2 linked regions of the Diceros bicornis minor genome follow. The protein of the gene in region 1 purifies or fractionates together with the protein of each later gene. This does not show direct contact. Links are inferred from orthologs where the notes say so. Each region holds a gene or a part of one and is shown in the gene's direction. Other genes may lie near its edges.

Region 1 (7,261 bases):
GGTGAAGTTCAGAACTAAACACTATTCTGTTTCAAAGATAAATTTCTTCTCATCATATTCTTCCATCAGCTGCCTGCCATTAAATCCAAAGCTGTCTCTTTGTTTGCATCTTGTCCTTCTGTTTATATCAAGTGGTGTGTCGCTATTAGGGCCAGGCTCCATAAAACCTCATTCTTTCTTCTAGAACATGCTTATTTATTGACATACTATGTCATGCACCTTTCTTTAACATGTTTTAGCTTCTGATTATTATGAACAAAGAATGTCTCCTTTTTTTTCTTTCTAGAAATCCTTATTGATTACTTTAAAAAATTTCCATAATCCCTGACTTCAAATTGCTCCAAGTAATTGTGGAGATAAGACACACAGAATATCTTGTCTGAAATTTGAAATGCTCAATATGCAAATCTCGGAGTTTCCTGTAAGGACAGGCCTCTGAGGGTGGACGGGTGGATGTACTGTCTCCTTGTTTGTTATGCAGTGATGTACAACCCCCTAGTGGGTCATTAATGTAACATAAAAAGGAAGCTGAGGGCAATGAGGTATGGCTTCCTCCATTCGTTCATTCAATGTACAAATGTTAATTGAGTGCCTACCATGTTCCAGGCAGGTTTTAGGTGCTGGACATACTGCAGTAAACAAAAGCATATGCATTCGTCACTTAAGATGAAGAAGACAGCCAGTAGAATAAGTCTGGGGCAAAAATCAGGAGCTTGATTTTGGACAGGGTAAGTTGGAGATGCCCATTAGTCTTCCAAGTTTCTTCTTTTAAAAATTAGTTGGTGTCTGGGAACATCTGTAGAGCACTTGTGAGCAGAAAACACAGACAGAGTGTCAATAATCTCTTCATTTGGGATTTCACCAAATTTAAACGAAAACTGACAACATGAGCACATTTAACAAGAAAATTGTGCAGACAGTGAATTAGACCCTGGGCGCGGGAGAGTGGTTACAGAGATGCTCAAGCCTTGGCCCCACCCTCATGGAACTGCTCATCTCTTACTTCTCTGTTTAAATGTAATCTTCAGTTTCTGTCTCAGTTCTTTGTTTGTTTTCTGAATTCTCACCGCAATTTGTAACGGCTGAATTTCTCTGCGTGCTTGTGTCCATCTACCTCCTCCACCTCCAGGACTGCGCGTCAGTCCTGCTCACTGGGGTATCTTCAGCACCAGGCAGAGCCTCAATTTATATTTATTGAAGGATGAATTTTTGATTTAATATGTCAGATAAGGTAGATATACATGAGAAGCTAGTAATATAGACTAGTATATGGCACATTCTAAATGAGTAAAGAACACAGTTAATTGTTCTTTTAGGCGATCACAGTGGGTTGAAGGCAGTCAGGCAAAATTTCAGGGAAGAAACTGGGCATGAGCTGAGTCTTAACGAACAGGCAGACTATGAAGGAAGGAGGGAGGAAGTGACAGCGGAAGGGTTGTTTTCTGTAAAGTGTTCCTGATTGATTTCCACATGCTCCTCAGCCACCAATGTCTCTTTATACTCTGGTGTCTAGTGGTCTCTGCTGGGCTGTCTCGCCCCTCACTCCTACCCAATGATATGGACTAACTCTGCAAGTCATTAGGGTTTGTCACGCCATGTCTATGTCACTCTTTTCTTTATCATTGTCATCATGGCCCCACTGTCTCTTTTTTAATGAACACCCAGCATACCAATGCCTATCATTATACCTGCTACATAGTAAATGCTCAATAAATATATGTTGAATGAATATATGTGCCTAGGAGCTGCTCTCCATACTCCTGGGGTGGCCCTTTCCCCAATATTTAGTCTCTGCCATGGGGCTGGGGGCATTTGAAACATGAGTACCAGAGGGCTCACTCCAAATCCTCGCATGATTATTAATGAGCTTCTTTCTCATATTTTCATGTAACGAAGATTTACTGCATGTCTCCTTTATTACAGGACTTATGCTGGCTACAAGGAGCTTGGAGCTGAGCTCCTATGAGACCCACGTAAATAAATCATCAAACAAATAACAAGTTAAAGGTTGATTTATGCATGAAGGGGTCTGTGAACACTGTAGATGGAGGAATTGCTTGTTCTGGTGTGCTAGGAAAGGCTTCCTAGAGTGCAGGAGAGAAAGTTGGCATTGAATCTTGAAAGACAATTTGTGTCCTCGAGACAGATGTGATCGGGGTGGGGGAGTGGATGAGGGAGTAAGGCAGACAGCATTGCAGCCAATGGAATAACAGGTGCAAAGGAGGTAGTGGTAGTGGTGGTAGGGGGCATCTGAGAAAGTGTGCTGAATTCAGGGAACTGGGGCAAAGAGCAGAAGAATGGCCCGAGAGAAGATGCGGGACTGGATTTGGGGCTGGCCAGCCAAAGAGCTCCACGGATGTCCATCTTTAAAATGTATTAAAATAAAAAATATAATGCCAATTAACTCAGCCACTTGTAGCTCCTTACATAGCTTTTGAAACCTAAATTGGTCACATTCCCTTGAGGTAAGACAGTGCCCTTGAATGTTCCTTTAAAAATTCTCCTGGCTGGCGATTTCAATTGTTATATTCAGTGCATGTAATAAATTCCTTATTTTTAACATAAAGAGGTTTGTAATTCTTTTTTTTTTTTTTTTGTGAGGAAGATCAGCCCTGAGCTAACATCCATGCTAATCCTCCTCTTTTTGCTGAGGAAGACCAGCTCTGAGCTAACATCTATTGCCAATCCTCCTCCTTTTTTTCTTTCCCCAAAGCCCCAGTTAGATAGTTGTATGTCATAGCTGCACATCCTTCTAGTTGCTGAATGTGGGATGCGGCCTCAGCATGGCCAGAGAAGCGGTGCATTGGTGCGCGCCCAGGATGCGAACCCCGGGCCGCCAGTAGCGGAGCGCACGCACTCAACCCATAAGCCGCAGGGCCGGCCACTGTAATTCTTATTAATAGAAAATCAAGTTCCTTTCAGTCCCATGCTGAACAGATATTTAAAGAAAATTGACCTACTTATGCATTGCCAAGTTATTAGCCTTCAGGTAATACACATATTCCACCATCCAGCCCCACCCAGGGGCCTCCAGGTCCCCTCTCCCAGCTAAAAATGAGAATGTTCCATTTGGCTGGGTGAGCTGAAAATGTTGGTTTCTGTGGGTGCCCAGAAGAGGCTGCGTTCAATGAAGTATTGTCAGTTAAATATGTGTCCAGCATCCAGCATCCCAACTACCCTATTTGGTAGTCTTTTCTAATAAAATTTTTTTTTGTAGGAGTCTTAAAGGTCCCTGACTGTCTCTGCCTTAGAGCCATCATATTCTCTGGGTATTCCAAAACATCAGGGACTTCCATATTCTACCCTGAGGTTTTGTACACATCCTCTGCATTTGAACAGGCCTCTAAATTTGGTGTTCAAAAATATAGTCCCTATGTGAAAATGTCAAATCACTACGTTGTACACTTGAAACTAATATAAGATTGTATGTCGATTATATCTCAGTAAAAAAATAGTCTATGGTGACTGCACTCTGACGTCGTGTGTGAACTTTAAATCATTACCATGAGTAACCACTGTTTTCACATTGATTCTTCTCTTCCCGGACGTTGGACCTAAAGCAAATAATTTAACCTTTCTGTGCTTCCATTTCCTCATGGGAAATGATAACACTACTTCCTCCGTTATAGGTTTGTGTTGAGAAATAAACGAGACAAGACACGCAAAGTGCTTGGCACACCCCCGCACCAGAGCCAGCACTCATCCGCGCATCCTTTAGAGAGGGACTGCACTTTTGATCTCTGTACTTCACTCTCACCAAGTCTTCCGCGTGACCCCGCCCAGGCTCAGGGTACAGGAAGCTGCGAGAGAACAGTGGGTAGTGTGAGGGGTCAGAGTGCAACGGTCAGAAGGTAGTTGGTTGAGGCAGTGTGCAAAGAAGTCTGAGGAAAGATCTCTGGACTTTGGTTACACCTCAGCCAGAGGAATAGAGCCGCGGGCACCCACCTGCTGCCGCTTTCTACCTCCCTCCCTGCCTTTGATTTGGCTCCGCCCCTTTCTCCCTAGAGGTTGAAAGCAGACGCCGACACCGACGCGGTTGCCTAGCGATAGGCTTTTCCCAAGATGCCCATGGTGTTGTGTTCTCCTTAGCCAATCAGAGAGGAGAAGCGACCTGACCGCGGGCCAATAGACTGCGAGTCCAGGGCCCGCGACGGTTAAACGGGGGTGGACACTGGAGCTGCGGGGCAGTGGGGTTCGGAGGGGTCCCGGAGTCGGTGGCTGCAGCTAGGTGCCTGCATCGCGACCTGCAGGAGTCGTGCGGCCGGCCCGGCCATGCCGACTCGGGCGGAGGACTATGAGGTGCTGTACACCATCGGCACGGGGTCCTACGGCCGCTGCCAGAAGATCCGGAGGAAGAGCGACGGCAAGGTGAGCGCGGGCCCCTGCCCTGTCTCCGCCCCTGCTGCGCCCGCCGCCGCCGAAGGGAAGCGAGAGGCCTGGGCTTGTGGATCTCGAAAGCAGGGTGCCTGCAAGAGTCAGCCATCTTCCCCAGGCCTGCGTCTGTCCTGGGTCGCTCAAGGAACGGGAGACTGTATTTTTTGATATAGCATATTTTTACCGTCTTTTTTCCTTTCTCTTCCATTTCCTTCCTTTTTCCTGCTTTGACCTGCTGAGGGCCTTCCATTGGTGACAGGTAGCTGACTTCTGAGCTATTTTTAGAGAAGAGTAGCCCTCTCAGACGAGAGAAAGGGGCGGGGCCCCCAGAACCTGGAGCTTTATGTCTTGCAGTCAGACTCATTTAAAATACCCATTATTCTGGTTATTGATTCATATTTCCCAGTGTGTGTAGGTAGACCTTATACAATGAGAAACAATACAAGAAACGATGAGAGGAAACTGCCTAGCTGCTGCTGGAGGGATCTTTAGTAAGGTCTCTCACCCTGGAAAAACTTGACTGGTTGGGATGATCAGGAACTTGGACTACCTCCGCTCCAGCCTTGACCAAAGTACTTTTTGCCAACCTCCCACAAAACAAGTGAGGGTAGGGGGTTGAGGGAGGCCTAATGTCTCTCATCCCTCTCTCTCCTATTGCACCATTTACTGCTTAAAAATTAGAGGAAGATTATGAAAATAAACTCAGGGGTCCTTAAGTTCATTGAATGAAATTAGATGATAATGACTGTATGATCTATTTAATAGGCAAGTAATTTTTAAAAATTTTAAATTTTGGAACGTTCATTTATACCTTGGAAATTCTTATTTCAGATATTAGTTTGGAAAGAACTTGACTATGGCTCTATGACAGAAGCTGAGAAACAAATGCTTGTTTCTGAAGTGAATTTGCTTCGTGAACTGAAACATCCAAACATTGTCCGTTACTACGATCGAATTATTGACCGAACCAACACAACACTGTACATTGTAATGGAATATTGCGAAGGAGGAGACCTGGCTAGTGTAATTATGAAGGGAACCAAGGAAAGGTAAATTAATCTTTTAAATATAACCTGAAAATGGGCCTAGTTTCATTTCTTTAAGCATCCTGTTTTAGGGTCAGGAATGAAGTACTTAGTAATGTGGAAGAGTGTGCTTGTATTTGTTTGATGAGTCCACAGTACTTTAGAAAATCCTTGGTGAATCAACACCCATATTTCATATCAAAATAATTTATTTCCCTACTTCTACACTTTGAAAACTAGATAATTCATATCATCCCATCTTTGTAATGGTTTTATTCAGAAGTTATATGCTATATAACTGCTTTGATTTCAGACAATACTTAGATGAAGAGTTTGTTCTTCGAGTGATGACTCAGCTGACTCTGGCCCTAAAAGAATGTCACAGACGAAGCGATGGTGGTCATACTGTGCTGCATCGGGACCTGAAACCAGCCAATGTTTTCCTGGATGGCAAGCAAAACGTTAAGCTTGGAGACTTTGGGCTAGCTAGAATATTAAACCATGATACGAGTTTTGCAAAAACATTTGTTGGCACACCTTATTACATGTCTCCTGTAAGTATCTCAGAATTTAGATACTTTTTTAACATCTTCATGCAAGCATTCAAATGCAGAGAAATTGAGCTTTGTGTTTGTTTAGTAATATCCAATAGCCAAGAATTAATAATACTATTTCCTTTTAAATTTGTATTTTCCAAATGGACCACCAGACCATTAAACTCCTCTGTATCAGCAATTCAGGTAAGCTTTTATTGAGTGACTACCAGGTGCTCACCTCTGGGGTTACAATGATGACCTAGGTTTTGTCTTTGCTCTCAACAGCAGTGTTTCTCAAAGTGCCATAAGTCCTGGACACCAGCTTTTACTTGTTTGGAATATTTGTTTAAAATGCAGAGTCCTGGGCCCCAAATCCAGTGAATTTGGGTCTCTGGACAGGTCCTTGCATTCTGCCCTCCCCCCCTTTTATTTTGGACTCCATATTTTAACAGACTGTAGATGATTCTTGTGCATGGAGATTCAGGGCTCAAGAGGCTCACTCACTTCAGATAACATGTTTTTACGGTGTTAACTTTCTGTACTTGTTCTTTTTTTCTTGACTTTTCCTACAGTGGAGGTGCAGAGACCACCCACTTTACTTATTTGTTTCCTCTATTGCTAGATATTTTGTTTCCAAAATTTCTCACCATTCTAAGGAGCACTGCTATGCATATCTTTGTATAAATTATCCTTTCTTCCTTTTTGGTTATTTCCTTGGGGTATAGGTCTCAAAATGAAATTGCTGGGTCAAAGGGTATGAACTGTTTATGACTCTCTAGATATCGCTTGATGGCTTTTAAAAAGCTTGAATCAATAAGTGATAGCACCAGTGTGCTGTAGATGAAATCTGAGCAGATAAAGATGGAGAGATATTTATTAATTTTTTTAAGAGTTCACAAACATTTCTAGGATATTCTAAATCTTTTTTGGTTATATTAACTGATCTGACTATAGTATAAAGCTTTGTAAATTAATGATTTTGTTTTTGACTAAGATTAGACATGGCCAGAAGAGTGTCATTTTCTTGCCAGATCAAGTTGCAAATAGAAAGCCTTTAACATAAAGGAAAATTATCCAGAAGTAGTTCTTGGAAAATTTGAAACCTGTGCAATTCTTTTGTTCCTTTTCCCTCCTGCCCTTGTAATTAGATCAGTTCAGCCTTCCCTAAGGCATTGATTGTCAGGAAGTGGTCTCGGACTCACCTGTTGTACTTTATTTTTATTTTTATTATAAATTTTTATTTACTTATTTATTTATTTTTTTCCCCCAAAGCACCAGTAGATAGTTGTATGTCATAGTTGCACAGCCGTCTGGTTGCTGTATGTG
Region 2 (7,169 bases), on another chromosome or scaffold:
ATTTGAAAAGGTAGCATTTAAATTGTGGAATCAAAATATTGTAAACCCTCTCTTTGAGAAGGAAAAATTTCAAATCAGAAATACAAACTTCCCCTTTAAGATGGGACAAGCTTTGATTAAATGAATAGAACCCCTAATTTTCCAGATTTTTAGACTTCCTGTTTGTTCAGCGCAATGCTACAAATTGCCCCTGGTCTCAAAACTATTTTTACAAACACCTTGTGAGATATAAAGTTGGGCCAGCCAGGCTAGCCAGAAGTTTGAAATGGAGAAGATGTGTTTTATATGCTGTGGCGTTCATTTCTCTTAAATATCCCAATACCCAAGGTCCCAGAAGTAAGAGTTTGCTCAGATGTGTATAAGACTACCTTTTATCATTTCAAATTAGGGTGACTAGTAGTCTCTGTTTGTCTAGGATGTCTGGTTTTAAAACTGAAAGTCCCATGTCCTGGGAACCCTCGATCCTGGGAAAACTGGGATGGTTGGTCACCCTACTTCAAGTATAAATCCTAACCCCATGCCTGAATTGACTTCAAGTTTGTGAACCAGGTATTGGAAGTTGAATAAATTCAGAAAACATGGTTATGTGACAGTTCATTAATTGTACCTGTTGTTCACCACTTACCATGTAAATGAACTGGTAATGAACCTCATTTTTTTTTTTTCCTTTGTCCTTTTTTTCCTTTGTCCCCTGACTTTTGGGTGCTGTTTTTCCAACCCTATAAAAATCAAGTGTGGTTTCAGGGGTTTGCGAAGCAGCTTGTCTTCCCTGTCTCTCCTCTGCAGTAGTAGTTAAAAAACACCAAACTTTGCTTTAACAAAAATCTGTTGGGTAGTTTCTGAGACTATGAGATTGTTGAGAACTGGAGGGTGAGATGGGGTCAGCCGCCGGGTCCTTTGCAGGCCTGGTGGAGAGGCAGCTGTAGGGCCCTCTGCAGACCCAGAGGGGAAGGGCTGAGGGCAGGCAGCTGCGAGGGCTCAGAGGAGAGGAGTCTGGCAGCCATTTCACCCTCCTGGCTAAAATGGGTAGTTTAGGGCCTTATATACTATCAGACAGATATTGGAGACCGTAGTGGGCTGCTTCTGAGATGGCCCCCAGTGATCCCTGCGTCTTTGTGTAATCCCCTCCCTGAGCGTGACTTGCTCCTGACCCTCAAAGGTGATCGGCTGTTACTCTTGTGATCAGATTGTCTACGATCGCGACTGACTTCTTGCTGGCAGACTCTATTGCCCTCTTGGCTTGCATACTTTGATGATGTTGGGGAACCCTGTGCGGCAAGGAACTGTGGGTGGCCTCTGGTTGCTGAGGGCAGCCTCTGGCTGACAGCCAGCAACATACCAAAGCCCTTAGTCCTTTAACCACAAGAAACTGAATTCCAAGCGAGCCTGGAAGCAGAATTTTCTCTGGTAAGCCTTGGATGAAACCACAGTCCCAGGCAACACCTTGACTGCAGCCTTGTGAGACTCTTAAGCACAAGACCTATCTGGGCCTGGACTCCTGACCCACAGAAATTGTGACAATAATAAATAGGTTATTTTAAATCACCAAGTTTGTGGTAATATTATTATGCAGCGATAGCTACTAATGCAGAGACGTATATTTTATTACAGATTAAAAGTGAGAAATAGGGATTGTATTCAATTTTTTTTTCTTTCATGAGGAAGATCCTCCCTGAGCTAACATCTGCCAACCCTCCTCTTTTTTTTGCTGAGGAAGACTGGCCCTGGGCTAACATCCGTGCCCATCTTCCTCCCCTTTACATGGGACGCGGCCACAGCATGGCTTAACAAGCGGTGCGTCGGTGCACGCCCGGGATCCGAACCAGTGAACCCTGGGCCGCTGCAGCGCAGCGCGCGCACTTAACCGCCTGCACCACTGGGCCTGCCCCTGTATTCAATTTTTTGCATACCAATCATATAGAGAGAATTTTGCTAACTACTGGGGTGAGTACATCAGCAAAAGAGGTCTAGTGTATAATATTGGATATATGTGTATCTGTATCCAAGATGCAATCTCAGGCGCCCACAAGGGAATTCACGCTTGCTTGGAGGGCAGCGGAAATGCAATGAGTTGGCAGCCTGCAGGAGTCTATACCAGGGCTTACGTGTTCTGAGCCAAGTGGATGCCTCAAATGCCAACAGAAGAGAATGGGAGGACGATAGAGACAACGGGAAATAACTCTTCTCTGAAACTCCTGGATTTGTGGTTTGGACCCCATGAGCAGAGAGGTCAGTGGCAGAAGCAGGATTTGCTTTCTTAAGAGACTGTCAAAGCATGAGTCCAAGTGTCGTTAATGACACTGGAGTGCTGCAGGGAACACAGCACTGCTCTGGCACCTGAGGGCCCAAGGTCTTCGGGAGTAGGAGGGGAACTATCAGGACGGACCTTGCTGTCCTCACAGAGGATATCAAGGCTGAGGCCACAGAAAGGCATCTTGAGAGAATTTAGGGAAAGTAAGGGAACAGGCAGGAGGAAGAGCTGGGTGACCCTTTCAGTGATTCTGCTTCACGGATTGCACAGTTGACGGCGTAAGACATGCTTTGTGGATTGCGTTGTCCTAGAAAACAGAGCCCGAGGGAAGTTTGATGAGCGCTGATGCTTTAGCCCAAGATAGAGAGAATGAAGGAAAGGGGAAATGAAGCATGGAAGGATGAGAAGTGCCACACTGGCGCTGCTTCACAACAGGCTGCCAACAATGCAGCAGTCCGCTTGGCAGGTGTGTCCACTCAGCCATACAGGACGTCTCCTGACAGGCTGTGCGGAGAAACTTTGCCTTAGAATAGTCCACCAGAGAGAGAAGAAAAGGGAATTTACTTGTCTGGTTCCTTCCTGCCTTGTTCTTATTGATCAGTTTGCCTTCATTAAAATTTGCTCCTTGTATCCTCAGGCCAGGGAAGTCTGGGGATATTTTGGTTTCAGGTAAATGACTACAGTGAACAGGTCTTCTCAGAGTTCTAAGAGAGGCTCTGTCTTAGTTCTCTTGGGCTTCTATAACAAAAATACCATCAACTGTGTGGCTTATAAACAAGAAATATTTATTTCTCATAGTTCTGGAGGCTGGGAAGTCCAAGATTATGGTGCTGGCAGATTCGGTGTCTGGTGAGAGCCCACTTTCTAATTCACGGACAGCTGTCTTTTTGCTGTGTCCTCACTTGGTAGAAGGGGCCAGGGAGCTCTGTAGGTCTCCTTATAAGGGCACTAATCCCATTCATGAGGGCTCCACCCTCATGATCTAAGCACCTTCTGAAGGTCCCACCTCCTAACACCATCACATAGGGCATAGTTTCAACTATGAATTTTTGGGGGGACACACACATTCAATCCTCAGTAGGCTCCTGTTGGAGTGAAGCCTTCTAAGGAGGTATCTGAGCTAAACCCTGAACGTGGACATTCCAAATCAAGGGATGAGAATGAACTGAGATACCAAGGCCACACACTGCAAGGTGTTTTCGGGAAGCCCAGTGGACAATTTTAGTGCCGACATACGGTTTCTGCCAACTTTACATTTCTGGATAAAGAATTTGAACTTTTCTTAGGCAACAGGGCGCCTGTCAATAATTTCAACCTAGAGACACCACGCAATGGGAGATTAGAGCTCAAGAGAGTTTGCTCCTTTCCCAAGTGCGCTAATTGTACAGCTGACTCCACAGACGCGGAAGGAAGGATAAAGCTGGGATTCTTAACCTGGGTCTGCGACGCTCAGAAATTGCACACAACGTGTTCGCGAGGCCTCCATACGCTTCATCAACTTTTCAAGGGGCCTGGACCCCAAAGGGTTAAAATGCACTGGCATAAAGAGATAATCAGCAGTCCCCTCGTCGGGTCGGGAGACAGGAGCGAAAACAGCCAGGATATCCCCTAATTCAGAGTTGGGAAGCAGTTCGAGCTCGTAGCGACATGACCTGGAGCCACTCTGCTACGGGGGTCCAATCACAGGACAGACTGGAACAGAGACTTCCCCGCTTCGGGGCTCGGCGCCACGCTAACAAAGATGGAAGTACCCAGCAACTTCCGCTCCGCGCATTCTTCCCGCAACTGCGCAGGCGTCAGGACCGCGGGACTGGCGCGAGCCTCCCGCGATGTCCCGCCCCGCCCCGGCGCGAGGCAGGACGGGAAAGCCAAGATGGACGCGTCCATTTGAACGTCTCGCCTGAGTGGGTCGCCTGCACGCTTGCCTCTCGTCAGCAGTCGCGCCCGCAGCCGCTGCCCCTTCTTCCTCCGGAATAGGGGAGGAGGAGGGGATGAGAAGCTGCGGCGGCCGAGGAGTCACCGTGAGCGACCCTGCCGCTGCCCTCGGGCCCCCTTGGCCCTCGCGCCTCCGGGGAGCAGCCGGGGCTCGCCGCGCCTGACGCGTCCCGAGTGACACAGGTGCGGGCCCGGGCCCGCAGCGCCCGGTGGTTCCTCGCGCGTCCCCTGACCCTCGGGCCCGCTGACCCGGAGCCGAGGGGGCCCGGGCCTGCGGGCTGGGCTTTCGGGGGTGCCCCTCTCCGCTGCACGCCTCGCCGACTTCCTTCCTGAGCTAAGCGCGGAGTCCCACGTGGGCCCGAGCTCCTGCATCGGCCCCTTGTCCTTCTGACAGGATTTTCTGAAACCCAGGCCCTTAGCCTGTTGGTTTCGCTTAACCCTAGGAGGCCGACGAAGCTCTGCCTTTTTGCGAAGACTCAACTCAAGGTGCCTTTTGTGTGCATTTGGGTCTCCTCTTGAAGTAGCTTTGCGGTTACCTTTGGCAGGGTTGTTTTTGTTCCTAGTAAGCCGTGCTGGTATCTCGACTTACAGCGTGTCACCTTAAGATAGTACTTTCGTATGTACCTGTGTATGTTGCCCTAGTAAGTAAAAGCATAAAAGTTTGGGATACTGTAAAATTTTTTAATGTTAACCTTTATCAGGGCAAAGAGAAACTGTACTGTGAAAATAATTGTATGATTAACAATTTTGTAATTTTCTCTCAAAGTTTTAATGGAATAACATTTCAAAATTACACAACTGAAGTTGGATAAAGTGGCAAGTTCTTAAGTGTTGGTTAACCTGTTGACTAGAATATAGGAAGACGAGCTGAATTTTGCTGTTTTCTTGTAAGTTTTATAAGGCACTATTTTAGTTATGTCCCAAGTTCAAGTGTTCTCAGTTCTGAGCTTTAGCAGGAGGAAAATAAAAGTCATGATTGTGACATACAGTCATGTCAGGAATAACATTTAATTCATAGCAGAATAACTTTGTGACTCTAGAGGAGCTGTGTAGAAACTACAGAGGCTTTGAGATGTTGCAGCAAAGAAAACTGATGCCAGAAAGAGCTCAGATGAGATATCTAAATCAAACTTAATTAAACTCTAATTGTGAGCCCTGTTTCAGATGCTTTCTAAAGGTTGTCTATAGTGCTGACATCACGTTTGTTTTGATTTCTGTGTCTGAGGATTGCAGTTTAAATGTGATCACGCAAAACCCATTTTTAATGTAGGTGTTGTGTTGGAGACAGGACTGGCATCCACCTTACAAACAAGATTATACAGTGTCAGAATTTTAGTTCTAGCTGTTAGTTACTATATGTAGAAATGTATTGGAGGTAAAGGGACTTGTTTCCACTCACAGCCCATCCACATCTTTGTATAATGAACTGTACTGTAATAGATTATGTTAATTAAAAACTAGGACGCTTAAATTTGCTACAAGCATGACTGTTCCATGGCCAGAGTTATTCATGCCTTGGTTCCCTGGGTTTGGACAAAGAATTCGAATTGATTGTAGTCATGTATTTAGGTGAATGGGGGTGTGAAAACTACTGATGACATTTGATAGTTTATTACCTGTTTTGTGGATTGGTCAACTGAAAGCAATAGTTCAACTTGTGAGGAATTAGAAATAATATGTGGGTTTTTTTTTTTATTTGTTTCATTCCAATATACCAGTGATCCTCTAGGTGTGCTTTTCAAATGAGGTTCCAGCATCTGTATAGAAATGACCTTAAATGTTGAGAAGCACGGCAGTCATGGGACTATAAAGTACAACTATAAAAAAGTACAACTATATAAAGGACAGCTTGTCTAAATACTTTCTGTGTGAAGTGTGGAAAAATTAGCGTATAGTGGTAGGAAACATAGGATAGGTGTTGTGGGGCATAAGTGCTTGTCTCAGCCCAGTGGTTTCTGACAGCGGTAACTGTCTGTTGGTCAGTCTGCAACTACAGTGTGGTGATAACTGTAATTACCTGAAAGAGTCAGATCTGGAATGCCCTTTGATGTTGATTACTTATACACCTGCAATATAATAGGATTATTTGACACTCAGCTAAGAATTAATGACTCTTCGTAAACTTTTGTGATATTTTTATCCTGGTTTTGACTCTAGAAGCTGACCAGAATGTGTTTGAATTCATACAGAAATAATGTTGATATTTGGAACCCATGTCGAACTTCTATGAAGAAAGGGCAACAATGATTGCAGCCGGGGATTTGCAGGAATTTGTTCCTTTCGGTCGAGACCACTGCAAGCACCACCCTAATGCTTTGAACCTTCAGCTTCGCCAGCTGCAGCCAGCCTCTGAGTTGTGGTCTTCTGATGGTGCTGCTGGTTTGGTGGGATCCCTTCAGGAGGTTACAATCCACGAGAAACAGAAGGTTTCATTCAGTTTCCCATTATATTTTGAAATGTAGAGTGGTGTAATCTGCTTGTAATTTAAGGCTACCCAGATGCAACTGAGAAATGAGTGTGATGCTGTTTCTAGGGTAGAGGTTCAGATTTGGTCATTTTAAACAAGGCTAAAATAATGACTTGATTGTATTATAGTGTCATAGCTGTTTATTTAGACATATAACTCATGGTTTTACAATGAGAGTCAAGTTCAGTACTGTGATTATGGTCCATTTTAAGCCTCTTTCTCTTCTCTTGGTACGTGGGGACCAGATTTCATGTTACTTGATGATTAGATGTTAGAGTTAGAAAGGGTCCCTGCTACAGAAAACTTAGTTTGTAGAGGAGAAAAAAATGCTACATAAGTAGAGTAGTAGTTCTTAAATAAGGGGATGAGATGTAAGTTTGTGTCAGAAAATCAATCTTTCCTGTCTTATTCCGTTTTCATATCCCTTTGGGATACCAAATTCTCAGGGGGGAAAGTTTATGTAGTTAGAAATGTCAACCTTTCTCTCTCCCATTCATTTTGGTGGGTGGGATAAGG

Evidence for each region.
Region 2: the proteins of NEK2 (region 1) and ANAPC1 purify together in Homo sapiens (affinity purification with mass spectrometry; 3 studies listed by BioGRID and IntAct, with this or other methods). This does not show direct contact. The link is inferred for Diceros bicornis minor from reciprocal best matches to the Homo sapiens genes NEK2 and ANAPC1.

The regions. Positions count from the first base shown.
Region 1 is NC_080743.1:77,451,032-77,458,292, reverse strand, and holds the start of NEK2 (serine/threonine-protein kinase Nek2), read left to right. Parts: upstream 1-4,197; 5' UTR 4,198-4,272; coding exon 4,273-4,368; intron 4,369-5,205; coding exon 5,206-5,423; intron 5,424-5,712; coding exon 5,713-5,953; intron 5,954-7,261. UniProt on the Homo sapiens protein: Protein kinase which is involved in the control of centrosome separation and bipolar spindle formation in mitotic cells and chromatin condensation in meiotic cells.
Region 2 is NC_080779.1:18,750,132-18,757,300, reverse strand, and holds the start of ANAPC1 (anaphase-promoting complex subunit 1), read left to right. Parts: upstream 1-4,122; 5' UTR 4,123-4,369; intron 4,370-4,395; exon of another isoform or gene 4,396-4,672; intron 4,673-4,952; exon of another isoform or gene 4,953-5,073; intron 5,074-6,375; 5' UTR 6,376-6,399; coding exon 6,400-6,612; intron 6,613-7,169. UniProt on the Homo sapiens protein: Component of the anaphase promoting complex/cyclosome (APC/C), a cell cycle-regulated E3 ubiquitin ligase that controls progression through mitosis and the G1 phase of the cell cycle.